Mus musculus: one gene and its partner. The main gene of each other region encodes a partner of the protein of the gene in region 2 in a complex. Links are inferred from orthologs where the notes say so. Each region holds a gene or a part of one and is shown on either strand. Other genes may lie near its edges. The genes, in order: Homer1 and Grm5.

The links.
Region 1: the proteins of Grm5 (region 2) and Homer1 are in contact, whole or in part, in a crystal structure (PDB 1DDV), measured with the Rattus norvegicus proteins. The link is inferred for Mus musculus from reciprocal best matches to the Homo sapiens genes GRM5 and HOMER1. Residues at the interface, in XP_006229721.1 of Rattus norvegicus: Thr1155, Pro1156, Pro1157, Phe1160; in NP_113895.1 of Rattus norvegicus: His12, Phe14, Trp24, Thr70, Ser71, Gln72, Lys73, Phe74, Gly89, Phe90.

Annotation. Positions count from the first base shown.
Region 1 is NC_000079.6:93,294,065-93,310,194, reverse strand, and holds the start of Homer1 (homer protein homolog 1), read right to left. Parts: upstream 6,439-16,130; 5' UTR 4,898-6,438; coding exon 4,893-4,897; intron 2,162-4,892; exon of another isoform or gene 1,888-2,161; coding exon of another isoform or gene 1,835-1,887; intron 1-1,834. UniProt on the Homo sapiens protein: Postsynaptic density scaffolding protein. Binds and cross-links cytoplasmic regions of GRM1, GRM5, ITPR1, DNM3, RYR1, RYR2, SHANK1 and SHANK3.
Region 2 is NC_000073.6:87,576,914-87,593,043, forward strand, and holds the start of Grm5 (metabotropic glutamate receptor 5 isoform b precursor), read left to right. Parts: upstream 1-7,254; 5' UTR 7,255-7,627; intron 7,628-9,601; exon of another isoform or gene 9,602-9,805; intron 9,806-16,130. UniProt on the Homo sapiens protein: G-protein coupled receptor for glutamate. Ligand binding causes a conformation change that triggers signaling via guanine nucleotide-binding proteins (G proteins) and modulates the activity of down-stream effectors.

The DNA of each region.
Region 1 (16,130 bases), on a different chromosome or scaffold from region 2:
TACTCCTATTCAGAAAGGGTTAAAGTTCTATGGAGTGTGGTGGTACACACCTATTCTGGGAACTTAAGCAGTAAGAGCAAAGCTGGAGGCCAATCTGAATTACTTAGCAAGACCCTACGTCTCAAGTAAAAAAAAAAAATCTGATTTTTTTTTTCCCAGTTCTCATACATGGACTTAAAGCTACCTAAAAGTTCCTTGTTACACACAAAATTTTCTGTAGTTAATTTGAATTCTTATAATTCTTCAAAATTAATCAGTTAAAAAAAAATAAAAGTTTCTGATCTCCAGGAAAATCTTACTTCTTTTACAAACGTAATGCATTTTGCAAAATGCATCGTCTCCACTGAGTGTATTAAACACAAGCAACACAGACAAAAACCTGCACATTACATTTAACTAGACAGGTCCTAACTAAACGTACTAGAGCTACTTAAAACCGTGATTTAAGCCTTAAAATAGGAATGGAGGGTACCAGATAATAGTAAATATTTGGGATTCACTTTCCTGGCCTTCTATTCAGTTAGCAATATCTAAGACTGAAAGAAAGCTCAATGCAGAACAGAGATTTGATCTTTTGAAATGTGAATGCTTTTTATCCTGACTGTCAGCAACTAAGTGTAAGGACAGTTTCTCTGCCACCTCTCCACCTCAGTGTTTCACGGCTCTCCTAAGTGATGAGGCCTCTTATCTGAGCACACCATGCAGTTCCCAACATTTCTAACTCTGTACTTGGGAACTTCTAGTTCTAAAGTCCAGCTACACATTTATTTCTCTGTCTCTCCCTCTGTACACTGAGATGTCCCAGGGCCTGTCACTTCCATTTCCATTGCCCAGTCAGAGTCACTGTTTTAGCTTGTTGTTTCTACAGGACACAACATACAAATCTGAATTAGCTTAGCCTTTTCTCACTACTTCTCTGATCCTTCTTGTTAGTGCTTTGATTGCTTATCGTCTCATATTGATTGATTCCTCCCATACCTCCAAGAACAATGTTTTTCTAAATTGCCAGTTGGAGCCACAGGTTTGTTAATACCAATTAATGGGTCTTCACTACCATTTCTTCTTGAAAATGAAATGGAATATAATTAAGTAGAAACTATCAGACTGCAATCACATAAAGTAAGAATAATATTTTATGTCATTTTATATTTAAATATGAATACTAGGTCACAGCATAAAAATGTATGCTGCCAATGGATCATATTTTTATTATCTGGTTTTAAAAACAAACAAACAATAAAACAAAACAAAAAACAAGCTCTTTCTATAGCCTAGGCTGGTCTTCTCCTGCCTCATTTTTCCAAGGACTAGGTTTATAGAGCATGCCATACAAGGCTAGGTCATGTCTCTTTAAGTTTAAACACCAGTCTATAGTATAACCCAGTCTTTTACTGGCCTACAAAGCTCTAGCCTGGCCCTGGACAAAGTTCTGGGGACTCGCTCTTCTATATAAAAGGAGCCCACACAAGCAAAGCTTTTATGGAGTGGTGCTGTCAATCACTATTCTACCTAAATGCCCTCTAATTTGTCCACAAGGCCTACTTGTACTCACCTTTTAGTATTTAATATCACCTACTCCAAAGTCTTTTTATCCTTCAAATAGCAGCAAATATCCCCTCATACAAATATACCGTGGGCCTCACAAATGCCCACTTTTACTGCTTTCAACATTTCACACCTTACTTTAACCATGATCCCCAGTTCTAAGCTATAAACTCCATTAGGGAAGAAGCGCATTTTACTGACTGTTCAATAACACTCAGCTGAGTCTATGACACATAACTGGTGCTGAAAGTTTGGTAAAATTAAGAAAGAACTAAGGACTTGTACTTACGTTGTTGGGCTGCCTTTACAAAGTGCACGCCTATTGTGATGGTGGATCAACATTTCCACATTTTTGCTACCACCCCTGCCATAAGCAAAATGAGACTCCAGGTAATAACGTAGCAGCACCCAGTTCCATGCTTTAAGGCAAGAGGAAGGGCTCAAAGTTTGCAAAGACAGATAGATAGCAGAAAAACAAACAAAAATCTCAACATCCTTTTGTAGGGAAAACTTCCATTTTAAACATAACTACCTCTTAATAGAAACAGGCATTATTAAGCTAAGTAAAAACAAAGTAGCACAAAATAACTGGTTGAAGTGACTTGGTATATGTTGCCCTCTCAAGTGCCCGACAGAGCGCCAGACTCACGGCCGCATTAGGATATATTACCTAACAGGCACGTCTCGGGAGACGCTGAAGCTTCTGGAGGTTTCATATTACATATGCAATTATCTTTATTTGTAAGGGGCCTGGTACACTTTTTACACACCCAGACTTCAGTTGACCTCACTCCAGTTAAAACTGCTGGTGCAACTTTGACAGACTCTGCCAACTGTTGGTTTCAGCTGTTCTTTTCCTTTTCCAGAGAGTTCATAAACTAGTATTACAGGAGTCATTTTTTCTACCTAATCATTTATTTTGGTTTGAAAAATAATTTCTTTACTCCCTAATTATAACTTTAATTAAGGTAAATGTAAATTCTATTATAGTCCATCTGTAATATATAAATTTCCTTATCCACGTGAAATTTTGGATATTTAGCCAAGTAAGGTAATTTAAGGACTGCCTGGGAAACTTTAAAGGTCACATAATATTAACTTATGCTTCAAAGAGGCCCAGATGGCTGTGTGCTTATGCACTTACAAAGGGTGGAGATGTCTGTAAATGCCTTTGCTGTATGGTATGTTCTTCTTTCTCCACCTACCCTTCCTCTTTCAACAATGCAGGTAAACCAAGCCACCCTCAATAAGAAGGTGTCACGTTCCCAAGTACAGACCTGAGGAAAATAAGAGCAAGTGCCCTTAACTGCTGAGCTGTCTCTTCAGCCCTTCTTTCTAGATCTCTTAATACTCAGCTATTGGCCATGAAGTTTTGGCACTGAGTTTTGGAGGGGCAAATTCAAATTACATCACTCACCAGGCAGAATTCTATTACAGCCTTATTTTACATGTCATTTTTAATTTTTTATTTTATTCATCCTTTAAATTTTAATCTATGTGTACTGGTGTTTTGCCTTCATGTATGTATGTGCACCACTTGCAAGCTTGGTGCCAGCAGCGATCAGAAGAGGGTATCGATCCCTGGGTGCTGGGAATCAACCCTAAATCCTCTTGAATAAGTGCTCTTTACACCTGAGCCCTAAAAATATAATTTTAACAAAAAGGCAAGTGATTTGTTTATAAACACATTATGCTGAGTATCTAAATGTATTTCATGTAGATAGCTTAATTTCATATTTCAAATAGTAGTCTCCTTTAGTATTAATCTCACTCTTCACTTGGTACAACAATGAGTATTCATGTAATGTAAGAGATGCAGAAAACGGATTCTCTTCTTTGATGATGCTACTCCAGTCTGAAGAATGAAGCATTCTTGGTGAAAAACTGCCACTTGATTTTGTGTGTAGGTGAGAGTGCACGTGACACTCCAACGTGGCTTTAAAAAACCACATTTTAAACTGTGAGGCTGCATATAACCAAGGGAAGGCATACTTCAAGTGTTACCAATATTAATTTTTTAGTATTTTCTCATTTAAAAATTGGTGCAACTGACCAGAACATTTTCTAACACCTTCATTTCCTAGCTTAAGTACTTATACAGATTAGAAGAAAAAAAATCAACTGCTGACCATTAAATGAGGGGAGAGAGAAAAAAAATCATTTTTACAGGTTGGAAAACTCTTATGCTCCTTTTTTTACCGACGAGGGCACTGCCCGTAAAGGTTAAGTAATTTGCTGAGGGTCACTATGCTACTAATAGCAGAACCAGAAATAGAATAAGGTATTTTAATTACATTCTTAGCACTTATTATTTAAGTATTAAAATAATTATCTACTCATAATTAATTCCTGAGGAAGAACTGCTATGACACGTGTCTACATTTTCAAAGTTGTATAAGCTAACAGACTTCAAATTTTAATTGTCAGGACAAAAAGCAACTATTCAAGAACTTTATAAAATGTGTGTTCCTAAGCTATCACAATGAAATTTCAAAATCCATCATTGCCAACCTTGTTCCTCAACTACTTATTTATCGGTGTTAGTTGGACCGCAGAGAAAGCACTGACAATCCACTAAAGAAATGAATAGATCACCACTCCATAACACATGTTCCCAGCTTAACTAAAGAACTCCTAGCATTTTATTAAGCTGTAGTCTTTAGAATGAAAAGTTTGGAAATGCACTCTAGACCGGCTTTTGGCTATGCTGAAGATGTAAATCTGACACCGCTGGCACCAGCTAAAGGTCTGAGGCAAACAGAAAAAGTGAACAAGTCCCTTCAACCAACAGCTTTGTCTCTCCAGCACCCACACCGTGGACATCGAAACACTGCGATTTTCGTTTAATGCCCAATAAACCAAGCTGTACATTTGGTTTCGGATGTTCAAGGATAAAACAGAGGGCACTGCCAGGGCACCAACTTACAAAGGGTCAGTTTCAAGGACTGGAGTCTAACTACTCATTACAATTCTCTCTTTGTAACAGCTGATTATTTCTACAAAGTACTGGAAGAATGCAGCTCTTCTCTTTGAACAACACCGTCAACCAAACCTAAGATGGCAAAATTTTAGTAACCTATATAGCAGTTTGATCAATTAAGAGGTACAGGGTAGACTAGTGCACTGTCTTTATATATATATAATTAATAAAACTATAACTGAGTTACAAACATTACACATTCTAATTAGGACCTCTGGTGTCGCTCTACAATAATGCAAATAAAATCTCTAATTTAAAGTAGTACCCGTTTTGCAAGGGATCGGATTTAAAAATATGGTCACCACCACCGTTCAACTCCACACAAGCATAAGCAGATTTAAAGCTGTGATAAGCACAAAATCCTTACCCCATTTTGCCCAATGAAAACTTGCTCTGAAGTTTCTGCTCTTATGCTACAGAAATAACTTCCAAGGAATTTTCTCCGTCTGTTATTTTGCAGTTGCTTTTCCACCCCCGAGATCTTTTCCGGAGGCAACTCAACAAGGCAGACAATTCAGTTAGTTCTTGTCGGTAAAATGATTTCACTCGCGCTGACACCAAAATGTTCAAACATTTGGAATTTGAAAAGGTTGCGCGGAGAATATAGCACTTAACTATTCCACAAAATTAAGCGTACGTGTAGAAAAAACGCAAAAGCCAGCTTCAGCAAGTCTGATAAAAAATGAGTTCGCTGGTCATTTCGCTCACGTCTTCCACGACACTCAGGCAGCCAGGTTACTCGGCCTTTTTGGGCTAAGGCGGTGGGTTCAAATTTCACCACACCAGGTCCCTGGGGGTGGAGCGTGCAACCCAACGCGACGTGCACTTGAATAAAAATCCTACAGGCAGCAATGCTACTGCCTCCCTTACGTTTAAAAAAAAAAATTATATAGAAGAAATCTCGAAGTGCAAACCCCAGCCGCTCCCGATGTGCACGGCACACCACATTGGAATCTGTCCTTTGAATGTTCGTCCTCCTAAGACTCGGAGCAGAGAGGAGGTGGAGAGCAGGCAGAGAAGGCTGGGAAGGATCGATTCGTTTTCCCGAGGAGCAGCAGCGGAGCCATTTCCAGGCTGGCAGCTAGCTGGGGGCGCAGCCGCCGGGGAGCAGCGCAGGGGCCCGAGCCCACCTCCTTTGGCTTCCCGGCCCCCGCCGAGCACAATGGAGCCCCGCTCGCGGCCGCCCCCTCTTCCCGCCTCTCCTCGCAGCACCCGCGGCCTCGGGCTCCCGACGGCGGAGAATGAATGAATCAGAGAACCCAACCCCGCGCGGTCCCCTGCACCCAGCCCCCAAGCTCCCGGCGGCCGCGCGCTGAGGCGAGAGGCTGGCGGCTCGTCCGAGGCACGGCAGCCGCGGCTCGTGCCCCCACCCCGGCTCGTCTCTCCCGCTCCGCGCCGCCTCACATTCCCGGGGCTGCCGCTGCCTCCTTACACTCCCCTCAGCGGCTGACTCCGTCGGCCCGGGCGGCCTGGCGCCCGTCGCTGCCTCTGACTCCACGGAGCGGGCTCCGAACCGAGCGCAGCCGAGGGCGCCGCTTCCCGGTCCGCGCCGCCGGCGTGAGACGAGCACGGCAGCGGAGCAGGAGAGGGGGCGGGGCGGGGCGGGGCGGGGCGGAGAGCGCGGCCCTCCCGGCTCGAGGGGCGGAGCGCTGCCGCCGCCGCAGGCCGGCGGAGGAGGTGGGGCGCGGCGGAGGCGGGGCCCGGGCTCGGACCGGGGCGCTGAGGAACAACACCGGAGGGGATGAGCTGGCCGGTCCGTCGGTCCGTCCCTTTTTCCTTCCCCTCCCCTAGCGGCCGGCGGCGGACGGGCAGTGCGCTCGGCTCCTGCGCTGGCTCTGGGCCGCCACGGCCTCGTCCGCTCCGCACGCCGGGTGCTCGCGCTGTGTCTCCATCCTCCCCGCAGAAGGACCTTTAAATAGCAACGTCAGCGCGCTCCTCTCCGCACATACGTCACCCTCCGCTCACGTCAGCTTGTGCGGGGGATGATGTCACGCGGCCGGAAGTACTGCTAAATTAGGGAAAGAGCTGGGGGAGGCGGGCTGAGCGAGCTGCTCCGGGCCCACCTGCTCCCGGTTCTCTCGCTTCTCCTTAAAGGCCAAGGCGCCGGAGACAGTCTGAGGAGAGCTCGGAGAAGGAAGCGGCGGGAGGAGGTTTCCTTGGCACAAATGTGCCATATGCGAATGAATCACTCATAGCAACAGTGCCGAAGTGTCGCCGGTAAAGTCCTGTCTCCCTCTCCCACTGGGTTTGCAGCAGCATCCCCGGGCTGTTCACATCCCAACCTGCAGGGAATCGTGGGAGGGAGAGTGATCACTGCTGGTAGACTCGGGGAAAACCACCGTTAATTTTAGGAATCCTAAATACCATTCTGAACATAGTCAACTTTTAAGCTTTCTCCCCTCCTAAAGGCGTGCGTTTTAACTTAAAAAAAAAAAAAAAAAAAAAAAAAAAGAGTAGAGTTAGGAGCAAACCTCTTGTTACAAAGGATAGTAATTAAAGCAGAATGAGATTTCCAAATGTTCTAAATGTTGCAGTTCGCTGCATAGCCATGGTTCTGCAAGGCATAATGAGTCAAATTCATTAAAGTAAACTTAGTTCCCTCAGATAATTACCCTTCTACAGCATCGCAAGTGCCAACGAATCACCTTAGGTCTGACTTACCAAGGATATGAATTACAGTCTGGAAACAAAGTCCTACTTTATTAACACAAACATACGTTTGGGTTCCTGATTATTTTGAATCTTGTAAGCACAATAGCTCTCGAGTATATTTTCATTTTTTTTAATGTGGCAAGGATGACTAGCCGTCTATAAATTTATAGCTGCATATGTGAAATTGTGTTTTTAAAGTCATGAAGTTTTAAAATGGCCCTGTGTTGTTAAGGGCCTTTTATTGGTTAGACTCACAGAATGAGTTTTGCTTTTATTCCATTTAACTTGACAATTGTGGTTCAGAAATAGAAGTGCTGCACCCTGCTAAAGGCCATTAGTACTTCAGTTACTCCAAAGAGTCAGTGACCACATTTTACAAACTAAACTCATTTGACATGAAACATGAAACTCACTTCATTCAAAACCTGAAGTGACCCGAGAAATCCAGGACATGATATTATTACAAAATCATTAAATTGTCCTTAGAAGAATAGTACATCAATGCCAATGCAGTTCAAAAGAAAGTCAGCTAAAATTCTATAGATCATGCCAGGAGTGGTGGGTTTTGTTTTGCCTTGTTTGATTAAGATCTTGAACACCTGGGCTCTCTTCCCTAATCCCTCCTAAGCAATGCAGTTACAAGAATGTCCCTTGCTTGCCTGCTATATGTGGTTTTTAATACATGTTTTTAATGTTAACACATGATTTTTTTAATTAAGGAACAACAATTTTGCTTTTTTTTTCCATTGACATTTTCTTGCTTGAGTTTGGCAAAGTGTTAGGGCTAATTTATAACTAATCAGACTGCCTGATCATTTACCTGAACATTATAAAGTTATGATCTTGCTTTAAATTTGAAATATTAAAAAGACTGAGAGGAGTTTTTTTTTTCCTTTTTTTTCCCACATGTGTGTATGCATGTGTGTGTGCATGTGCTGGAACATGTGTACACGATAGAATGGAAATCAGGTTTAACGTGAGGAGTCTTCCTTGATTGCTGTCCACCTTATTGATGGATGGAGGGAGGGTCTCTCTCTCTCTCTCTCTCTCAACCAAACTCATCTTATCAGGAGGGCTAATCCAACTGACCAGCTTACTCTGGGCATCCAGTCTCTGGCTTCCTAGTACAGGAGATAGAGGTGGATGGCCACCCCACTCAGGGCTCACATCCAGTCTCTGCCTTCCCAGTGCAGGAGCTACAGGTGGACAGCCAACCCCACTCAGGGCTTATGTGGATGGTAGGGATCTAAACTCTGGTCTTCACACCTGAGTGGTAACTCAGGGTCTGGTTTTGTTTTAGTGTTGTAATGGAAGATTAATGAAAAGCAAATATCTGCTTTCCAAATCGGCTAATATACCATTGTACTGATAGAACTGATACTAAGTTATATTTCAGACAAATTTTTACTTAAATATAAAATACAAAAACAATGACACTGTTATTTTTCAAATAATGTCATCTTATGATCCTTGCAAAGTACAAATGCAATGTGTTATTACTCTCTAAAATGAAAAAAAGAAAAACTTTAAAAAACTACTCACCTACCCTTATTCTCTATTTCTGGGTCTTTCTTACTGTGTTAACTAACACTTATGTGACCATTTTCAAACACATTCAAGCCTATGATTGTAGCCTCCTCCCATTTGTGTTCTTTATCAAACTGATTTTTACCCACCTGCCAAGACAGTCTGTGAGCTGCTTCGGTGCCTTTAGAGTTTCTTTAAAGTCCTTTGCTCGGTTTCTGTTTGTCACAGGGTGTGGTGTCTTCTCAGCTGCCTCTTGCCAGCTGAAAGAGCAACTTTTTGTACATACATCTGACTGTTCACTGTGATGTAATTACTCAAAGCCTAAGTGGTCATTTCAGCATCTTATTCTAGCAACAATTGGCCAAGTTTTATTCTTTCCCCATTTGTGTGGGATTCACATATCAGGAAGTAGCTGTGTTGCCAAAGGTTTAAGTAAAACCTAGAAACATAATATGAGAGATGTCCTAGGGAAAATAAATGCCCTTCCTATTACCCTACTTTGAAACATTTCTAGTACACTTCCGACAGGAGTCGGAGAACCATTATATGGCTTTTTATCCATCAATAGATATCTTTTCTGCTAAAATGAGCTGTCATACCATAAATTCCAACTCTAATTTCCTTCTGTTGTTTTAAAGTACTGAACTTCCTAGAAAGGAGTGGATTTCTCTCACCGGAAGAGGAAGAAAGAACTTCAGCAGCATTTCAGTTTTTAACAGTTCCTCTTTTCCAGTATGCTCTCAAATTTATGGGGCGGTTTATGAATACCCTCTGATTTTAGAATCTGTGGGCGAAGACATCTGTTTCAGTTTTGGGTTTATTTCCATGCCCTTAGCAGGAGATGGTAGTCTCCAATGGATGTTCATAGATGTGTCATGAAATGGGTCTTTTTCAATGAAAAGTCATTCATGAGCTAGAAAAAAAATGCAGAAAAGAGAGTTAAAGCCAGGTTTTATTTTTAATTGACTTACATTAGATAATGCCACTGTCACTTCAAATAAAGTCATAAGCAGAAATACTGGATAGATAGCTCCCCTGCAATAGAAATCCCACAAGCTTATGACAAAAAAAAATGTATAAGAAACTAAATAACCAGCGAAGACTAAAAGTAATAAGAAAAGAATGAAACCGTAGAAAACAATTTCTAGTGGGTGCTAAAAATCTCATTGCACATGCTCTAAGGTTTAGCACACACAGGCCATCATTTACTTGAGTTGGCTTGGATAAAGGCATCTTTCATTATTATTACAGTCTTCATCTCAGCAGAAATGAGGTGGCAGAAAAGTCTTTTCAAATGAATTTCAATTAAAAAGGAAAAACACAATCTCAAGAGTGGGAATGTAGGTGTTTGGCTTCTCAAGTCTAAGTCTTCCAGACAGATTTCCTCATCTGAGAACATCCATACATGATACTTTTTTTCCTCTTAAACAGAATCGTTTGTGAGTTGTAGAGGAAGAGATATTGAAGAGTTATCCACAGGAAAACGGCTATAGAACATGAGAAATGACGTCATGGCACTCTCCTGCTTTGGTTTTTATTGTAATCTCATTGCTGATATTCCAAGTATTGTTAGAAAAGTAAAATACAGTCCTAGGCTTCTAAAGGAAAACTCCGGAAGGTTTCCAGTCAGGTCCTGTCGAGGGCCTGAATAGACTAGAGGGATGATAATAATAGTAATAATAATAATCCTCCAATCAGGAAATCAATGTGCAGTCTATTTGTATTTTTTAACGTTCGGGGGATATAGTACCTTTCAAAAATTATCTGGCTTAACTTTGTTTTGTTGGCATTTCAAGCAGCAGTCACAGAGAACGGGCTGGGAAAGCAGGCAGTCCTCAGAGAACTACAGGAAAGAATGGGGGTAAAGCTGCACCTGTGTGGTTCCTTAGAATGGAATGCTGCGGAAGCTGATTGCCATAGTAACCAATAATCTTTTTCCTGAATGGGGAAACAGAACAACCATGAGGAAAATATTTTAGATGAGCTACCTCATTTTGTGACTCTTGGTGCCAGCAAGTATAAAAACAGCACCCAAGGCATTCAGGACAGGCAAGCTTGTAAAAGGAAATTGCCTTCTTTCCAGAGAAATGAGGCTGAAGCTGCGCATAATTGGTAACGTCTCGGACATGCCTGGAGCTGACAGAAACAATACCTAAAGTCTGTTAAATTTCTCTCCAGTATAAGCGGTCGGAAAAAAGCCTCAGCATTGGAAGGTTTTAGCTGTAACGTTTCATGAGTTATTTATGAGGCTTTTATGTATTTTAATCTGGTTCAGATCATAATGGCTCTAAAGGTTACATTAGAATTAGTGTTCTCTACAGAAGCAGACCACTATGACATATACACACAGACAGACAGACAGATGAGAGACAGATGACAGATTTATTGTAAGATTTGGTGCTCACAGTTTATGGAAAGCAAAAAGTCCCAATCTGCACATTGGAGAACCAAGGAGCTGGCATAATGATTCATCTTTAGCCTAAAAGACCCAAGAACCAGAGAAGCCAATAGTGTCTTTCTTAGGCCAGATTTAGAACCCTGAAAACCTGTGATTCTGATGTCTCAGGGCAGGGGATGATTGTCTAGATTCCAGTGGGAAAAAAAAAAAAAACATTGCCTGTTGTCTTTTTGTTCTAATCAAGACTGTCCACAGAGCTGGGCGTGGTGGCGCATGCCTTTAATCCCAGCACTCGGGAGGCAGAGGCAGGCGGATTTCTGAGATTGAGGCCAGCCTGGTCTACAAAGTGAGTTCCAGGACAGCCAGGGCTACACAGAGAAACCCTGTCTCGAAAAACAAACAAACAAACAAACAAACAAACAAGACTGTCCACAGATTTGATGGTGCCTGGTGAGAGTAGATACATTATTAGTAAGACCACTGGTTTAAATGTGAGTCTCTTTATATATGCCTTAGACATTCCTACCCACAAGGATTTACTAGTTATCTGTGTGTCCTTTAACCTCATCATGTTTACATCTAACTTGACCCTCACAACATCTATTATTTTAATAATGAACTATATTTTTATCATATTTTACGTTTGATAAAAAAAGTATTTTCCTATATTGATCAAGTATCTGCTGACGTCACATTGAAGGAAACCCAGATTTCCTATCTTACCCTAAGATGATTGCCCCCACATGATTACGGCCCCTCTTTTCCTCAGCTACCTTTAATACCACTTCCCACTGTGTGGGTTAGTTTGTTTTCAATGGCAAGGAACAGAAAGTCCAAATAATGGTGAGAGCTAGATGCATACTGTGTTTGTCTTTACTTGTTTGCGTAGCGGGAGGTTTAGGGGTGGGTCGTCCTGCAGTTGATTCTAAAGGTCCAAGGTGTTACCAGCGTCCCTTCTACCCCTTCACCTTGCTGTCTTTAAATCTGATTTGCTATCTCATATTTGTCTGATCATTATATTTCTGGACTTCCTATTCAGACAAAGAGCACCTAAAGAAAGAAAAAGAGGAGGAGGTGACACGCGTTCCTCCTTTTCTCCTACTCTTTAGGGAAAACAATCTTCTGCGCTGCCTCCCCACCCCAGTGCTCTTTCATGTCTTCATAGTCAAGACTAGATTGCATAGCCATCCCTGTACACTGGTGACTGGGGATAGGATTTTCATGACTAGCTTAGATAAGCAGTAGTCCATCCCTGTGTCAGTGTGTTGGGGCTGAACAAACTTAAGTATCTTGCAGCTCAGCAGAGGGGTCAGTGCCTTTTGAACAAGCAAACCACATATTGATAAAAATAACTAGGACTAAACCAAACTAATGATACCAAAACCCTGTCATCGTTTTTATATTTTTATGTGTTTGTGTATTAAATGTGTGGCATATGCACACAAGTGTAGGTTGGGAGTGTACATTTGTGTGTGAGAGCAGAGACTGAACCAACCTGAGTGTGCATGTGTGTGTGTGTGTGTGTGTGTGTGTGTGTGTGTGTGTGTGTGTGCGTGCAGGGAGGCTATCTCACTGAACCTAAGTGTGCATTTTTGTGTGGGTGGGGAGGCTATCTCACTGAACCTGAGTGTACATTTTTGTATGGGTGAGGAGGCTAGCTCATTGAACCAGAGTGTACATGTGTGTTTGTGTGTGCAGGAAAGCTATCATACAGAACCTGAGTGTGTGTTTGGGGAGGACGGTCAATCTCACTGAACCTGAAGCTCATCATTTTGGCTCATTATCTGACTATCTCTGCCTCCCAGCACTGGGCATACAGGCATGACTAGCATCCCAGCTCTTACATGGATCCTGGAAATCTGTCCTGGACTCACTGCAATCACAGCAAGCACTCTTACCCACAGTCATCTCTCCAATCTCACAGTGAAACCTTTAAAACATTGAAGAAAAAAAAAAACAAAACAAAACAGGTAAATGACACTGAAAAGACCCCTTCGCTTGCAGAGTTGCAGAATTAACATTGTGAAAGTAGCTGTTCTGAACATCTAATGCAACCCCACCACCACCAAAAAAAAGGCAAAGACATTCTTCATGGAACTAAAAGGCAACCCCACATTTCATAAGGAAGCTCAAAAGACACCAAATAACCAAAGCAATTCTGGGGGAAAAAGTCAACGTTGGAGGTATCAAAATACTGAATTTTATGTTATACTGCAGAACCATACTCATAAAAGAAACACAGTATTGGATCAAAAACAACACATGGACCAATGGAATAAAATAGGGGGCCCCAGAGTAAATCTACACAGTTTTAGACTCGTTTTAGACAGAATTGCCAAAAACACACATTGGTTAGAGAAAAGACAGCCTCCTTAGCAAATGGTTCTGGGAAAACTGGATATCCACTTGTAGAACAACGAAGCTACATTCCTTGTATAAAAATAAATTCAAAAAGTGTTAAAGGCCATAATGTAAAGCCTGAAGCTGCAGCAGCCAGAGGAAGTCACTTCAGGATGCAGGCACAGCCAGGGGCTTGCCAAAGAGAGCTTTAACAGCTCAGGAAATAATAGCAAATAATTGATAAATGGAATTGCATGAGCTTGAAAACCTGCACGGCAGGGAAACAGGGTGAAGAGGCAGCCTAGGAGAAGATCTTTGCCCGTTGTCTGTCTCATAGGAACTTAATATCTGGAATGTGTAAAGACCTATTGAAAAATAGACAAAGAAACAAGTGGTCCAGTCAATACATGGGCAAATGAAATGAAGAGACACTCACTCCTCAGAAGATGAGAGACAGGGCTGGGAGATGTCTCCGCAGTAAAGAGCTGACTGCAAAGCATGGGGGCCTGAGTGTGGATACCCAGCATGCAGTGTGCCCCAATAATCCTAGACTGGGAAGTGGAGACGAAGGGGTCAGAGACTCACTGGCCAGATACTCTATCCAACAGGTTAAATGATTGGCACCGCCTCAAACAAATAAGGTTGGTGCTAGAGGCTCAGTAGTTAAGAGCACTAACTGCTCTTCCAGAGGACTCAGGTTCAATTTCCAGTGCCCACATGGCAGCTTTCAACCATTTATAACTAGTTCCAGGGGATCCAACCCTCTTCTGACCTCTGCAAGCACTGGGTACACACATGAATATACATCCAGAAAGAATACCCATATGCATAAATTTAATATTTTTTTAAACATGGGGAGAGATAAGAGAAGGTACTTCATGTCAGTCTCTGTCCTCCATGTTCACATATATGGGCATGGACATCCAGAAACACACGCAACACATATAGCACACACAATACACACATCTACCTCTTAGGAACCTTTTCAGAGACCACTGCAAGGCAATGTCTATCATATAGTGAGTGATCAGCAAGTTGTTCCATGTTGAATGAACTATCATTTTCTGCTGTCCTTAAGCAGAAATTAATTGTATCAGGTTCCTCGTTCAGTTAGAGAAACAACATAATCTGGAGTAACTAGACCATGGATTTAAAAGAGTGGTCATACATAGCTCAGAAAAATTAGGGAGGCTGAGGACTCAGCAACCAGAACATTTAAATTGGGTACTTTGAGGGGCATTTAATAAGGATAGTACCCTTTACAAAGGTGGGATAGATGGGAAAAAGGAGAGAGAGCAGGACCTGGCCCAGCAAGATAGACCACCCTTTCTATGCTGAAAGGTCAGGAAAAGAACAATGGCTGGAACCTAGACCCAGAGAAGGCTGCCTGGGCAGCTGTGTCCTTTGCTAAAAGGATACAGATATCATATAGAGATCCAATATGTGGTCAGTTCTTACCCAATCCTCCCTCTGCTAGTGTTCTCTCTTAAAGCTGGCAGACAGGAAGCTACAGGGAGAGCCTGTAGTTGTCATCTTAGAGTAAAGAAGAGTGCAGAGTGAACCTGGAGGAATAGATAGAAGACAGTCCAAGTTACATTCCATTTGCCAGTCCTAAGAAATCAGTTATTTCCTAATTCAGCACCTGGGAAGACCAGCTTGTCCAACCAGTAGGAAGAATATAAATTTAAATATAGGTAAAGTTTGACACAGCAGGTCTACTACATGAAATTTACAAACATATTTTCTTCAGTATTCAAAGCAACATGTGCAAAGATTTTTTTTTGTATTGTTTTATTTTGGGGGCAGGTGCAGCGAACTTTATTGATGGTATTCAAGAGAGTAGGGAGAGCTCCCTAGGCCCCTCCTGTTATGGGAGTCTGGGTGGAAATTGTAAGGGAGATGCTCAGTGTTGGGGGCCAAGTTGGGATAGGAACTCCTCAGCAACCAAGGGCCTCTCTCTTGCTCTCAGTGTCCTTGCTGGGGTGGGTGGTCCAGGGTTTCTTACTCCTTGGAGGCCATGTAGGCCATGAGGTCCACCACCCTGTTGCTGTAACCGTACTCATTGTCATACCAGGAAATGAGCGTCACAAAGTTGTTATTGAGAGCAATGCCAGCCCCGGCATCAAAGGTGGAAGAGTGGGAGTTGCTGTTGAAGTCGCAGGAGACAACCTGGTCCTCAGTGTAGCCCAAGATGCCCTTCAGTGGGCTCTCAGATGCCTGCTTCACCACCTTCTTGATGTCATCTTACTTGGCAGGTTTCTCCAGGCGGCACGTCAGATCCATGACCGACACATTGGGGGTAGGAACATGGAAGGCCATGCCAGTGAGCTTCCCGTTCAGCTCTGGGATGATCTTGCCCACAGCCTTGGCAGCACAGGTGGATGCAGGGATGATGTTCTGGGCAGCCCCATGGCCATCACACCAGAGCTTTCCAGAGGGGCCATCCACAGTCTTCTGGGTAGCAGTGATGGCATGGACCATGGTCATGATCCCTTCCGTGATGCCAAAGTTGTCATGGATAACCTTGGCCAGGGGGGCTAAGCAGTTGGTGGTGCAGGATGCATTGCTAACAATCTTGAGTGAGTTGTCATATTTCTCATGGTTCACACCCATCACAAACATGGGGGCATCGGCAGAAGGGGCAGAGATGATGACCCTTTTGGCTCCACCCTTCAAGTGGGTCCCAGC
Region 2 (16,130 bases):
TGTGCAAGTCAATATCTCGCTAGGCTTAACTCTTATTAACCCTGACATAACTGTTTCATAATGAAGACTCTTTAACTCTGACCTAATTGTTTACATAGAGAAAAAGAGTAGATTTCCTATTCTTTAAATATCCAGTATAACACTCAGGACAGATCATCAGCTACTGAATTGCTTTGTGTATGTTCCTTCCCCTAGAAGGTAACTTCTTTTCAAATACAGATAATTTGTTATCATTTTTTTCTGTTGGTAAAGATTCTAGTTGTATTTTCTCTTAGAGGCAAGGTTTAGAATTTTGTTATTTTCAATAGTCTCTGTAAATTTGACTCTTGGCTGAGAGAACCCCAATTATCCTAAGGAAGAAAGTAGATCTAGAAATAAAGTTGAAATTAAAAGGAAGAGATGAGTAGAATGAAGAGTTATTCATTTATTCTAAAAATATTTTTCTCATACTAAACCATTGCCAGGCACTGGGCTAAATATTATAAATACTTAAATAAGCGAGTCTGAATTGTTTCTGTTATCATATTCTAATATTTTTACTTTACTCTAAATCATTTTCAAATTTTCACAGAAACTGCCAGAGGTATCATCCATTAATGCTTCCATGTATTTTAAAACCTTGTCAATGACTATGTTGTATTAGTTTGAACATTGCTTTTTGATGATATCTCTTTGAAATTTGGTACGAACAATTAATTCAGGCTTGAGGCTCTGATACTATGAAATGTAGGCCCATGGGGCTGCCTAAGACAAAGTGATTTCTCAAAAGACCCGAAGGGATTTTTACTCTGGTCTTTCTTTGACATTCTACTCCTGTTTCCTACTTATAATTCTAGTATATAAACATGGTTTATTTCATAAGTTCTAAATTCATCTTAGAGTGTTAAGTTAGTCTCAAAGATATTGCCAACGTAATTTAAACACTCTCATGTAAGAATGCATGCCAGAATTTGGCTGGCTCCTGCCATCAGCTGTTACTGTTTTCTCCCCTATAGCTTAAAGAAGGTAAGTTTTATAGAACATAGTATCCATTGAGAAGACAGCTTAGGTATAGGGTTGCCAAGTTTAGTAAATTAAAACACACAGTACCCAGTTAGATGTGAATTTCAGGAAGACAACACTCTCTTTACAAAACAACAACAACAACAGCAGCAGCAACAACAACAACAACAAAAGGAAGCATATTCCATGAGTCTTTTGTAATACTGGCAACATTTATATAAAGAAAAATTATTAAAATTTAGCAAGGATCCCTTTTTTTCTGGAAATCTTTCTGTAACAAGTCCTAAAGCTATAAGAATCTGTAACTTTATCTTTTTTTCAAATTAAGTGTGTGTTTGTGTGTGTGTGTGTGTGTGTGTGTGTGTGTGCATGTGTGTACAGCTGTATCTCCCTTAATAACGTTTTACTTTGTGTTTTGACACAGAGTCTTTCACTGAACATGGAGCGCAATGGTTATGCTATCTGTACAGAGGATCCTCTCGTTGCTTCCCCAGTTCTAAGATTACAAATGTTTATTATAGGGCTTCACATTTTGTCACTTTAGGTTCTGGGGATCTGAACTCATATCTTCATGCTTGTGCAGCAAGAACTTTTCTGACTGAACCATGGCCATGAAATCATGTTTTTAATGAGGAAACAATTTTGTCACTAGCAATGACAAAATATAAACCCATTCATTCTATTATCAACTATTAGAGTTGAGCAAAATCTTATATATTTATATCAATATTTATGTATATATTAAGCTCAAGTCCTTTAAATTTTATTTCTTAGTAGGTCTTAATATCAGTTTTTTTCATGAATGCATCAAAGGAAAGGATATTGACTCATGTAGTTATTCAGTAAAGACTTATCATGTGTTTAATATGTGAACTTATTACATGTGTGTAATATGTGAGAGTTCTACCACATGTTTCCTAGTGATTGATGGTAATGTAGCAGAAAAACAGGCGTTTAGCGAGGAAAATTACCACCTTCTGATGGAAACAATATCCAGTCATCAGAACATGAAAACCTGTGATTACAGAAAATTGCATAACTTCAAAGCATATATGTCTAAGATGTATTTCAGGGTAAAAAGAATCACAGCACAAGCGAGAGAGACATTAAAAAATTATATGAAGATGATTCTCAGTGCCTCCTGTTATGCACATACTTAACTGGTTCCAAATGAAACTAGGTATTTCTAATATGTGATGCACAAAATGATCAAACAATAGAAGTAGGTTAAAGTTTGGAGGAGTAATGATAGATCTGAAAAAAATTAAGGGTTCAATATTTACACAAAAATTAAAAACATAAAATACATTAAGTTTTCTAGAGAACATTCATGATTATATTTCTTCTATTATTTGATGAAGGGGAGCTAAGCTTGGAAGGTTTTGAGTAAAAATTAGAATCAATTAAAGTTTATCAAGTTAATCCTGGCGTAGCACAGCTTCTGTTTCCAACACATTCTGTTTCTTACTAAGTCTTCTTTTGGTCCACGTATCTCAGACTCCATGGAACAACAACAACAAAAAATATAGAGTTACCTATTTCACCAAAGGAATCAAGACAAGGTTATTATACTCTTCTATATAATTACTTACCTATCTCCAGTTCTATTCAAATATTATAAATACTGAATTTGTACTAAAATTTTATCATTTCTCTTTTTCTACTCCTGTATTGCAAAATATGTATTTGTCATCAAATTTAAATGTATTGCAGTTGCAGGCAATATTCTTTGGCATGGTGTAGAAATGGGGGTAAGATTCTAATTCCAAGATTTTGAAAATAAGTGATGAGAAAAATTTCAGTTTTTATATTACTTAATAGACTCATGAAAACAGTCACTATGGAAACCAGACATGAGTCCATAAAACACCAAGAGATCAGAAGGGAGGTCTTGAGCTGAGAATTTGAGTCTTACATTTAAATATTGACATAGGTGTTAGTTTAGCCCTTGCATTCCTAAAATTAAATGATTAAATTTCTTTTTGATTACACAGCTAAGGTTAATAATTTTGACAAAATTCTATGCTGTGATGGTTTCCCATTTTTTTCCCTCTGTCTTTGCATCTGACACTGATTCTCTTTCCTTCTCCCTCCCTCCTTTATTTCTTTCCTCCTTTCCCTTGCCTCTTTTTCTCCTCCCTCCCCTTCCTTTCTCTCACCCCTTCTCCCACCTTTAATACATTTTATTTATACCCCATCTTTAAACTGTTTATCATTTTCTATGGGAAGAAATAAATTCTAGTGACATTTTTGGACAAATAAGAGAATTTTGAGGAAAATATCCTCAGGTTGTTTCATTCTGAGAATGTTCCTTAACAATAAGAAAATACTATAGTACATTGAGATCTAAGATGAGGACAATAAATGTAAAATAGATTACTTCTTAAATACTCCAACTAGTTAACTGAACAGTGTTTATAGTTCTCATTTATTTTGAAGACCTACTTATATTTACAAAACAAGAGTTATATAGAAAATAAGCAGTTAGGTATATATCTATAAGTTCAGTAAAAGCATTTGTTGTTTGACTTTCTGATTCTCAAATGATTGAAGAAGAGAATCTCATGTCTAGTATCTTAGCCACGCCAATGTCTACACTCGTTTCTTACCATTGCCATCACCAAATACTATGTGCCTGCTGCTTTGAGGAGCTGTACAATGTTTTCTTCTCTATTATTTTTAACAATAGCAGCACCTTCAACACATGTGCTATCAGAGAAACAAAACAAGAAATTTCTGTTACATATAAAAACACAATTCAAAAGGAATTATCTTTTGTTACTTTATGATCTCAATAAAATAACAGCATTTTTCAAATCTGTGTATTCATGAAGTGTTGTATTGGAATGATAGAGTCAAATTATGGAGGAAGATGAGGGGAAGATGTCAATTTACTGAGAATGAAAAACTTCTGGATTGTAAAGTGTACTCATATATAGTCTCCAAAATAGAGTTTTAGAAATTCTCTTTCACATTTTTTGTTTGTTTATAGACAATGGTTAGAATTTAAGGTTTCAAGAATTTGTCAAAGACCTACACTGAAGAACTCGAGATTCAGTTTTCAGAAGTCAGTCTAGTTGATTGTATTCAGGAGGATAGTCTAGTACATGCTTTGCACTCACGCGTGTGCGTGCGAGTACATGCATGTGTGTGTGTGTGTGTGTGTGTGTGTGTGTGTGTGTATGTGTAGAAGGGAGTGCAGAGAGTAACTGCATTGATATACACTCCTGCACCCGGGCTTTCAGAATCTATTGGCATAAGAGATGTTAAGACTGACCAAGAACCATGCAATGAGAAGTATCTCTCTGTATTTGTTGTGTGTCAAGAGTTTTGCTAGGACAGGGCTTTATTAGAGAAAACACAGACTAAACTTGCAGTGATCGCCATGTACTGAAATATTAATACTCCATCTCATTTACTCTGTATTTGGAATAAAATCAGAAATTTAGAAAGCCATGCACTGTTTTTCTTGTCAGATGAGCAATAAGTGACTGGACTTAGAAACACTTTGTGTTAAAATCCCATGCTATGCCTGGATTTTGCATTGAAATTCTTTGGTAAATGACTTATTATGAAAATCTCTCTAGTTCTGCTGTACAATCTTCTATGAAGATGCCAAATTATAAAACTAACAAGAATTAAGTCTGTATGTTGATTGAAAAGTCACTTGTTTATTATTCATTGTGACAATAACAATAGTTTTTAAAAATGTTTAGCACTATCATAGCTTCTTTGGCAACTGAGAAACGTGATACCACAGGCAGTTGTGTCTAAGCTGGGATAGAGACTATCACACAATTATTCCCCAGACTTTTTTCAAATATTTATGGGGTTTATTACCAGCATTCACAATTTGAACAATAAATGACACATAGAAGGCATCATTCTTTTTAGTATTAATTTAAATATTTAAAATAACAATTGACTGTCCACTATTTGCTAGAACTTTACTTGCAATGTGTTATGTAAAATATTTCCTTAAAATATTTCATTTTAATAAGAAAGATGGACAACAAAAAATGATCATAACTATTATTGAATTAGACTTTATTTTAGACTAAGTCAACAATGACAAAGGGGAAAATCGTTGAGTTAAGGACACTGAGGCACTGAGATTTTGAACACAGCCAACAAGATTAAACTCCAGGAAGTAAGATTTTTACTAACAATTGCAGGAGAGCAAAGTGTTACCCTAGTGACCACTTATAAACAACAGTCATTAGAAAAAAACAGGACAGTGCAAAGGGTGAGACAAAGCTACCGTTTTAAATATCAATGAGCAATTTAAGAACATCTAATGATGTTTCTCTTCTCTGAACATACTGCTATTGATAAGCCTAAAGTTCCATTTGCATGTCAACTTTTATAGAACAGGAAGTGAATAAAGCTCGCTAAGCCACATGTGAGACTTACGGGCAGCTTTGTCTTTCTGATGCTTTGGGATAGCATCTTCTTCATTAGCCTTGGTGAGAGGAGAGAATGAAATATGTGCAGGTATTTGGAAACATCTCATATCTATTAATATTATTTAGGTACTTTGCATGTAATCTACAAATTCTGTTTTAAGTTGGACTAAACATGGACAATATGGCCATATATGCCCTTTATGAGCCACTTCCTTTGAGGAAACAAAGATTCTCTAAGTTCTTCAGTCATTTTTTCACAAAAGGACCTAAATCAAAACTGGAATCAACCTAGTACAGAAAATTTCATGTTGGACAAACGGACATTTTAAACTCTAGAAAAAGAGAGGAGAATAAATTCACATATTGTACTTCAAGTATCTAAAAATGTCTTTAGACATGGAAAAATGAAAATGAATACCTTTAAGAAGATCTACTTTTTAACTTTTAAAATAACACAAGGTATTAGACATCATTAATCAGTTTTCAAACAAAGTGTGTTTTAGCAGATTCCCACCCTCTTCTTTTTTGCTTACTTCCCACTCCCTCTGATACTCTACCCCCTTTCTTCATTTTCATAGCAAATGTGCCCTTTGATCTCTTCTTCCTTTAGTACCCCTTTTCCCTTCTTTTGGTTTCCTTTCTAGTAATTTTGTGGGGGTGATGCTGATTGTATTTTAAAGATCAGTCCACATTTACAGATATTTTCACATGCACACATTACAAGCTAGGATCTGCACATGAGAAAGACCACACTGGCTTTGTCTTCCTGGGTTTAGACCACCTAACTTAATGCTATACACTTGAGGCTGATCATTTTTTTCCCTGTAAACTTCATAATTTCAGTTTTCTTTCCAGCTGAATAAAAGTTTTATATGTATATATAACATCGTTGCCCATTCATCTGTTGGTGGACCTGGAGTCTGGTTCTAATGTGTTGCTGTAAATGGGCTATAATACACACATATGGGCAAATGTCTTTTAATGCTTGACATAGTGTTTTAAATGGATACTTCCCTTCTTCCGTTCCTTACTATTATATCACCGAAGTAATCAAAGAAACACTACCTTGTTGTCAAGGACCCACTGACAAACATTAGTAGTTATTAATAACTGGTGTCCTTGACTTCAGTGTTGTGCATGTTTTAATCATTAATTCAGCTACTGAAAGTACCTGGCTCCTTTAATTTGCTCAGGCAATAATAATATTACCCAATTATTCTTTTGTTTAAATTAAGCCATGCAAGTAATTTATAGGGATCCCTTTTATTCTTTTTCTTTCAGATATAATGTGAAGGTAACCTTAGCATTTTTGATGTCCATAGACAGTACTAGGGGTATCAAAGAAAAGGATGCCAAGCAATTGGAAGAAGTAAAACATTTAAGTCCCACAGGGAAAGACTTTTAATGGATGTAGGAAGAAACATTTTTAAGAAGTGCAGACAAATGCAAAATGACATTATTAATGACTCAAGACCATTAAATACATTGGTCTTTCTAATCACTCGGGCTTCTGAACCGTACTTGCAGTTCTCTGAATCTCATTCTCTCTCTCTCTCTCTCTCTCTCTCTCTCTCTCTCTCTCTCTCTCTCTGTGTGTGTGTGTGTGTGTGTGTGTAAGTACAGTCTGTGTCACTCTCTCTCTCTTCTCTCTGTGTCTCTCAGTCTTGTGTTTGTCTCTCTGTTTCTTCCTACTCCTCTCTCTGTCTTCCAGCAATAATACCCCTTCTCCCAATAACTGTCAGGAGTTTCGTACTATCTTCAGAGAGAAGCTGATTATCTACCTGCTCTCCAGCTTCTCTCTGAGTGACATGCCACCCACGCCTCCCAGCACAGCTCCTGCTTCTCCATCTCTGGGTGGGAATGAGGTAGTGAGGAAGTCCAAGACTGCCCTGGCCTGAACCCTGAGACCAAGAGGCTCTAGGAGCAGTGTTCACTCACTGATCCAAGGCTAGCCAGCCGCCCCCAATTGCACTCTGCAAGAGTAGGAGCCAACCCAGCGTTGCGCTTCCAGCTGCGTCTGCCCGGGCGCAGCACGTGCTCCAGGCGCTGGCGCGAGAGAGCGAGCGCCACCACCGCGGGCCCGCAGCCGTTCTGCTGGCTGCCACTACAGCTTAGATCGCAGCCACTAGCGCTTCTGCAGCAGCCAAGGCCGCTACGAAAGCGCAGGGAGCTTGAAAGGAGCGGCTGTCCAGAGGAGCAAGGCTCAGGGAGCGCACCTGGTAAGCATAGCGCTGTTTTTCTTTCTCTCAGCTGTGGAGTTACCAGGGATGTAGGATGCCGCCGGAGCCCCTCCCCCAGTGCAGGGATGGAGAGTGAGCGAGCAAGGGGCGGGTGCTTGGACTAAAGGGACCCAGAAGGGCAGGTGGTGGGCAGGTGGACGACAGGTGAAGCCAGGGATACTAGAAGGTCCTGCAAGTTTAAGAAAGTCACCCCGCAAGGACATGTGCTCTATAAATTAGACATGAATTTAGAGTCAGGAGCCTGGGCTAATGTGGTATGGCTAAATGGGAGGTTTTTGAATATCTTTTTGTTTTCATTCACCTAACTGAAGGATTTCAGTGGGGTTGTTTCCACAGAAAATAGCTAAAATAATCAGTGGCAGAAAAAAATAAATAAAACCAATAAAGCCCCCCCCCCTTCTGTCTCATGCTGGTACATGTGCAATGATAAAGCATGCACTTAGCGAGGGAGGAGAATTTTAGATCTCTGAGGATATTAGATGTTTGGGCTGTAGTAAGCACACTTGCTGATGCTGCACCCCAAAAATGAGACAGGGAAGAAGATTATGGATGGTTTTAAATACTGTATTACAATTCTAAAATGACATTTGAATGACTATAACACCAGGACCAAGAGATTCTCTGGAATCATTAACCCATTTATGAGATGTATCAGCACGTCTGGACCCTTAAAGCTAAGATTATATATTTCTAGCAGTGAAAGGAAGATTTTTTTTAACCTTAAATTTTCTGACAGAACTTTCATAAAGGATGATAATGAAGAACATGGAGATCAAGAGGAAAGAGAGGGGAGTTGAACAGACTCCATGAGCTATGTGTGGTAGTATAGCAAGGAGAGTTGGGTCTGTCAGATTTGGTACCAATGTTCATTCAGTCACACCCTGAGAAGCCCTTAGGCCATTGTCTAGGAAAATATGTGACCTTGAACAAGACTACCAAGCATTGTACACTTATTCTCTCCATCAGGAAAGTGGAAAGCATACTGCATTTTAGGACACTGAAGTCTCACAAAATAGTGTGTGTTTGTATAAGCTTGAAGAATTGTACAGGGAAAGAGGGAAGGGAGATATCCGGAAATACAGGCAAATAGATTGTAAAGATGTTCTCTCTCCAAGTATTTTAACAGCTGTAACGTTCACAGTGCCATTGGATAATGCATGCTGGTTCTATGAAAGGTCTATGGGAAAGGTTGAGTCCAGCCAAACATTCAGGCCCATGCAAAGATTATGGAGTTTTGACAGTTGTTTGGAAAATTTCAAATGCACAAAACTTAAAGTTACATTTTGCTTATTTGCTTGTTTGTTTATTTTATTGTCTAGCGAAGTAGCATTTGAAAAACATATTTTGGTGATAGGTTGTGAAGTTTTGGGGTTTGTTTGTTTGCTTTTATTTAACTTAAGCTTTGAGAAGTTACCTGGGCTTGATTATGGTAAAGAAAATCACATCCTAGTTTCAAGGTTTGTCACTGTGTGGCAAATGAGGATTTTGGAATGAGACAGGAATGTTCTGTAATATGAGTAGAAGGCTTAGGGAGGGAAGAGAAAAGCGATATTTCTCTTAGAGCATGCATGTCTATAGCCCAGTGGGCAGCAGGCAGCTGGCACATACCATGTTGATTCCTCTTCTACTTGACTGGAGAAGTCATCTCTAGCCCTTTTCTGTCAATGCATATTCATTTATAGAATTTGGAGATTTGCATTGCAGATGCTGAGATGGTATGCATTCATAAACTCATCTCCCTGGGTGTCTTCAGCTCCCCCCATCCTGAATGTCTGGCCATGAAACTAGTGTACCCATCCTGATCTGCCCAGGAGTCTGTGTTCCTAAAGGAACTCACTGTGCCACTTGGTGGCACCAAAAAGTTGCGCAGAGAAGTCTCTTCTCTATAAATACTAACTACCACCCCTCCCTCCTCCGCTCTCTCCCCTTCTCCCCTTCCCCCTGTCTCCATAGAGGGGAAGATTGCTGTACATGCCGCCCTCAGCTCCGCTGTTCTGAGCACTCCGAGCACAGGGGATGAGCTTGGGATCATCTTGGGGTTGGGGAAAAGCCCAAGAAAGGAAAAGCTGGCTCAACCCCATTGATTTCTGCTGCCCAACTTTACTCCGGGGGGCTAGCTAAACAGCATCTCACTGCCTGCTGCGTGGCCAACAGGGGGTAAGCTTGCTATGTCTGTGTGCCCAGGTATCTATCCCCAGACCTGTCAAGGATTTAGAAGCTTTAAGCATGCTGATAAGCTCACAGTGTGGTTTGGAGGAGGGGACTTAGATGAATCCGGGGTGGCCAGAGCAGAAGAGGTTCACATCTGCTTCTTTTACAGAAGACCATTATTAATTAAACCTGTTGGTGGAAAAGGCGCGAGCAAGAGGGTAAAGCAGGGGGAGGTATGCAAGGTCTAAGATAGGGATTATGCACGCCTTTGGATCCCCGTGTCTGAGCTCTGAGGAAAGGAGAACATGGTTTAGAATGCAGACTGGCTTACCCAGTCCTTTGGAGAACTCAAAACTGAGAAAGCAAAGGTAGAGAAGGGAAGGAAGGAGAATCACTTCTGGGTAATAGATTGGTTTCTCCTCTGCCTGGGGCGGGGTGGGGTGGGGGTACAGCGTTTGGTGCTGAAAGCACAGCTTGGGATTTATTGTTTCTATCTCAATGTCCTTTGAACGCCCCCAACCCCTAGCGCAACTTCGTGCGCTTTCTTTTTCCTTGGATATAGCTTTCCCTTCCTTCCAGACACAAAGCTACCCAGGGGCAGCAGATCAGAGCGCAGAAGAGGGATCCCAGGCTACAGGGACTTGGAGACAAGGAACCAGGAAAGTTCTACCAAGCAAACTCTAGTTGATGTTTACAGTAGCCTAATCTATTTTGGGACATTTCAGCAGGAAGTAATGGTTGACCTGGGTGATTACCCACCTAGTTGTAGGATGTATGGCTGTTCGTATTTCTCTTTAGAGTGCATGGTGTGGGAAAAGTGACTTTGAGAAAGTGATAACAGATTCTTGTTTTTATTTAGTCAGAATCCTGGAACTGTTTCACCTGAATTAGCTTGGGTATCCAAACAAGTAGGTAGTGCTATGCATCAATTTATTTCTTCATAAGAAATTGGTATTCACAAATGGAAAGGTGGACTCACCTTTCTTTCTTCCTTTCAATATCCAACTTTATATTTTATTGTTTAAATTGCTTAAGAAGTGAACTAGTGATCTCCTGTATTTCTAGTTCTGGTAGCAAATTGGTGCCTATAACAACAGTCTAGTGAGAATGCTTAGCACTAAGGGCACCCCTTCATCCAGCAAAGATTTATTCTGAGTTATTTGACACCTTATTATGAGTTTCAGAGGATATAGGTGTGCTATTTTTTTCTTGTTGTGAGTGCTTTGTGCTCTTCTCTTATGGAGTGGAGGGAATTTCCTCCATTAATTTCTCTGTTAATTCTGTGTAATACATATTAAATTGTCAGTTAGTAATCTTTTTGTCATTTGTGGAACTTTCCATTTTGAAGGATTGTTGGTTTAGAAATAGAAAACTTTGCTTGCCAAACTCACTAGGTTAATGACTTGCATTCTACCAAGTCTGCATCCTTCTCCTGGAAACTTCTTCAGCACCTTGGACAGGTACTCATACTATTCCCTAGGCTTCACTGGACACTTACTGAGCAACAAACCACCACTTAGATAAAAGACTTTTCCTCGTCCTTTACACTTTATGATTAAATGTAAAATTCATGTATTTCAACTGCATCTTCTAGAGCTCCATGATGTTCCATAGCAGTGTTTTACCTGTGGGTTTTATGCCCAAAAAGGACAGAGGAAATCCAAAGAACAAAAAAGAAAAAAGAAAATGAAAATTTAATGTCTATTTATTATAGGCACTCTGAGGTTATTTGGATAAGAATGATATTTGAACACCCCATGTACTTGCTTAAATCTTAACCTGTTATCAAATGTATACACAGACCTTTACCATTGTACACATCATAGCCATTCAGACTGATATCCAGGGAACACTGAAAAATTCAGTAATAGATATTTATCCACGTAAAGAATATCTATGATTTGAGAATACTTGGGTAAGGAGACACCATTTTCTTTCTTTTTTCTGAACTGTTATTTTGTCATGTTTCCTACTAAATTAATTGGCTTCACTAAAAATGTTTACATTTGTGAGTAAATAACTTTCATGATTCTTATTTTATTCAAAATGCATTGAGAATTTTTCAAGGAATGTTGCTATATTGACTTTTTGAAGAATGTTGGGACTATTTATGCATTTAGAAATGGTAAATTAAAACTGAGGATGGCGATGTATAACTTAAATCTCAGCACTTGAAAGGTTGAGGCAGGAAACACAAAAGTTCACAGTAATCCTTAGTTATGTAGGAAGTTAAATGAGGCCCTGTAACAAAAAGATGAAGAAAAATTAAATGATAGAAGAAGATGAACACTAATCAGAAAAAATGAGATTGAATAAATTGTAAATATGTACATAATTGTATTACTTGAGTAAAATATGTATGCATGTTTTATTCAAGGTTTGCTACATTCATGGAATGAAGAGGCATATTTCTTTATACATTTTTGCTATTGGATATATGGACACATATATGGACTTAGACATTTGTGTATGTACCATTTTCTTCACACTATTTAAATACATCCAGCTGAATCTAACTTTGTGAAAAAATGATGATTCTTTTGATATATGTTTTTGAGAACATGACAGTGTATTACATAGAAGTGTCCTTGATTTGGAATTATTTGTTTGGAAATATTAATTCTGATGCTAAGGCATCTCTTTATGTCCTTTCTTGTTGTGTACGTAGAAGACACACAAGAAGGGAACATCCAAAGAAGTGGTTTTATTTCATACTCAAATGACCTAAGAATGTAACATTTTGACTTTGATTTTTCAACTGTTTACAAATCAGAAAATGCTTTCTTGATATTTTCTCATTTCATTTGAATGAAAGGGTTTAAATACAAAAACATGCCAAGATTTGTCTCCATGGCTCCAGTATTAATGCAGAGGAGACATAAGTGTATACTTTAATGCTAATAATATTGTTTGAAATGCACTCACACAGAGAAACAAACACAAATGCATCTATGTTTGGCGATAGGGCTTCCAATAAAAGTTTTGTAGTAGGTCAATGCTTGCCAGGGCAAGTATTATTTATTGAGCATGTTAGGGATTGTATCAAGTACTAGATGTATTACATTGCTAATCATCAAATGAGTCACATGATATACTGGTTTTAATTTTTTTTGTTGTAAAAAGTGAAGTTTTTCTTTCATTGTTATAACATGAAAATGGTACCAAGAAACAACCCCCAGAACACATACATATGCTGTGTGTTATAAAATTGTCAGTATGAATAGAACATACCCTGTTTCTATAGCATCAGTCTATAATGCAGATATTTGTGGAGGCTCTTTTATGATTGTTCTCAGTCTGTTGTGGTTTGCAGTGTATTTTATTAGTGAATATTTGGCACCAGATTGCATGAATGTGGATCTCACCTTTAGTTGAGTATGTGAATTTGTAAACAGAATTAAATCATGTATATGATTTATATATATTTCATTATATATTATTATATAAACAAATACCCAACTTTTCTTGTTTGTAGTGGATGAGGAAAGTTAGAATGATATTAATACAACCAAGTGAGTATGGGAAATTAATTGCTCCAATTGGAGTAACTTCCCTGACCTGTTAGTGATGAATACATAAAAGTAATTTATGGCAATTTGTTGTCTGCACGACATTGGATATAAAATGCTGCCTGAGTTATTAACTTTCTCAATAGTCACATGAATTTCTCTCTCTCTCTCTCTCTCTCTCTCTCTCTCTCTCTCTCTCTCTCTCTCTCTCTCTCTGTCTCTCTCTCTCTGTCTCTCTCTCTCTCTGTCTCTCTCTGTCTCTCTCTGTCTCTCTCTCTCTCTCTCTCTCTCTCTCTTGCTCTTTCTAATTTTTTTATTGTTAACAGCTGTTATACGGTGAAGTGGACTACATAACTTGTCTAAAGTCTCACTGTTCCTACCACCCCAAAGCACAAGTGTAAACCCAGGGATATTTGGCTCCCAAATTCTAGCTTTTGGCACGAATATTATCTTGTAACTTGAACATATAGAGTAAGCTGTATTTTTTCTCTTTTTAAATTTCTTTCTTTTATTAAATATTTTCTTCATTTACATTTCAAATGCTATCCGGAAAGTTCCCTATACCCTCCCTCCACCCTGCTTCCCAACCCACCCACTCTGGCTTCCTGGCCCTGGCATTTCCCTCTACTGTGGCATATGATCTTCGTAAGACCAAGGGCCTGTCCTCCCATTGATGGCCGACTAGGCCATCCTCTCCTACATATGCAACTAGAGACATAAGCTCTAGGGAGTACTGGCTAGTTCACATTAATTTTTTTTTTAATTCTACTAATTTTGAGTCAGCACCATCTCCTTCCACAAGGGAGTGTCCAAATTTTTTTTTCTAAAACATTTTAGAATATTCAAAATTAGATATGCAAATTTGTGAGAAAATCAGAAATCAAAATGGTACATAATTACAGTTTCAAACATTTTCTTTTTTTAGACAAACTCTTCAAGAAAGTTAAAGGGAAGAATCAGAAGCAAGAAGTATATTTTAAATAGACATGATTTTGCTGTCATTACAAAATGTCAGCTATTGAAAATTTCTTTAATGGATATTTGTCACAGTAGTTTTGAATGAAGGTTATGTATGTTAAACTTTTTAGCTTAAGTATTTTAATGAAAAAATATTATCACAATAACACTAATGTGCATCATATCTATACGATACACATCATGTTACTTTATTTATTTATTTATTTATGTATTTATTTATTTATGGTCTTTTTATTAGATATTTTCTTTATATACATTTCAAATGCTATCCTGAAAATTCTCTATACCCTCCCCACCCCGCCCTGCTCCCCTACCCACCCACTCCCACTTCTTGGCCCTGGCATTCCCTTGTACTGGAGCATATAAAGTTTGCAATACCAAGGGGCCTCTCTTCCCAGTAATGGTTGACTAGGACATCTTCTGCTACATATGCATCTAGAGATATGAGCTCTGGGGGTACTGGTTAGTTCATATTGTTGTTCCACATATAGGGTTGCAGACCCCTTCAGCTCCTGGTGCTTTCTCTAGCTTCTCCATTGGGGGCCCTGTGTTCTATCTTATAGGATGACTGTGAGCATCCACTTCTGTATTTGCTAGGCAATGGCATAGCCTCATATGAGACAGCTATACCAGGGTCCCTTCAGCAAAATCTTGCTGGCATATGCAATAGTGTCTGGGTTTGGTGGATGATTATGGGATGGATCCCTGGGTGGGGTAGTCTATGGATAGTCCATCCTTTCGTCTTAGCTCCAAACTTTGTCTCTGTAACTCCTTTCATGGGTATTTTGCTCCCTATTCTAAGGAGGAATGAAGTATCCACCCATTGGTCTTCCCTCTTCTTGATTTTCTTGTGTTTTGTAAATTGTATCTTGTGTGTTCTATGTTTCTGGGCTAATATCCACTTATCAGTGAATGCATATCTAATTACTTCTTTTGTGACTGGGTTATTTTATAATGATAAAAATAAGTTTAAGACCAATCTGTCTTAATGTAACATTACTCTTTAGGAGTAAGTAAATAATACATTATTACTGACTTTAAAAATTAAATGATATTTTGAAAATAATATATATATAATATATATATTGAATAAAATTTGCTATTCTAATCAAGTCAAAATGAATTTTATAACTAGAATGAAGAAGTATTTAATATAGCAAATATTGCCTATGTTAGTCTCACATTCTTTTATTGTAATTTGTGGATATCCAGAGCCATGTTAAGCGAATGTAAAAAGAAACCATTCATTGTGTCAGTTAAAATTTTGTCTCCAAAATGAAGTAACATTCTCAGCAACAAGATCACACATAAACGTGTAACAAAGTGAGAAAAGGACACACACCCTAACTTAACCTCCTTCATCTCATTTGGAAGTTACAGAGAAAAGCTGAATGAAAATGAATACAAAGGACAGCCCTTAGCTGTCCTTTCTGTTATGAGTGATGTGGAAAATACTTTGAGGACTTTCACTTATATCATTGGTTTTCAAACTGGAAATGCTTCTTTCCTGCCAAGGGCATTCAGTGCTGCCTAGAGGTACATTTCGCTTCATAAATAAAAAATTGTGTTACCAGTCGTTTGGCTCAGTAGACATAGAACTGTGACACTGTTTAATATCCTCCAATAGACAAGACAGTATCTTGCTACAACAATATTACCTAATCCTAAATGACAACCATAATTCCACTGTGTTTTTTTAAAGTGATCTTTCTAAATAATTCAGGCAAGCAAAATTAACAATATGATTTATTTAATGTAGTTTCTAATGGATAGACTTAAGGCAAACAATTAATGGAAAGCTCAGTCTCTAGAATGATGTGTTGTCGTTATTTGAACTCTAAATA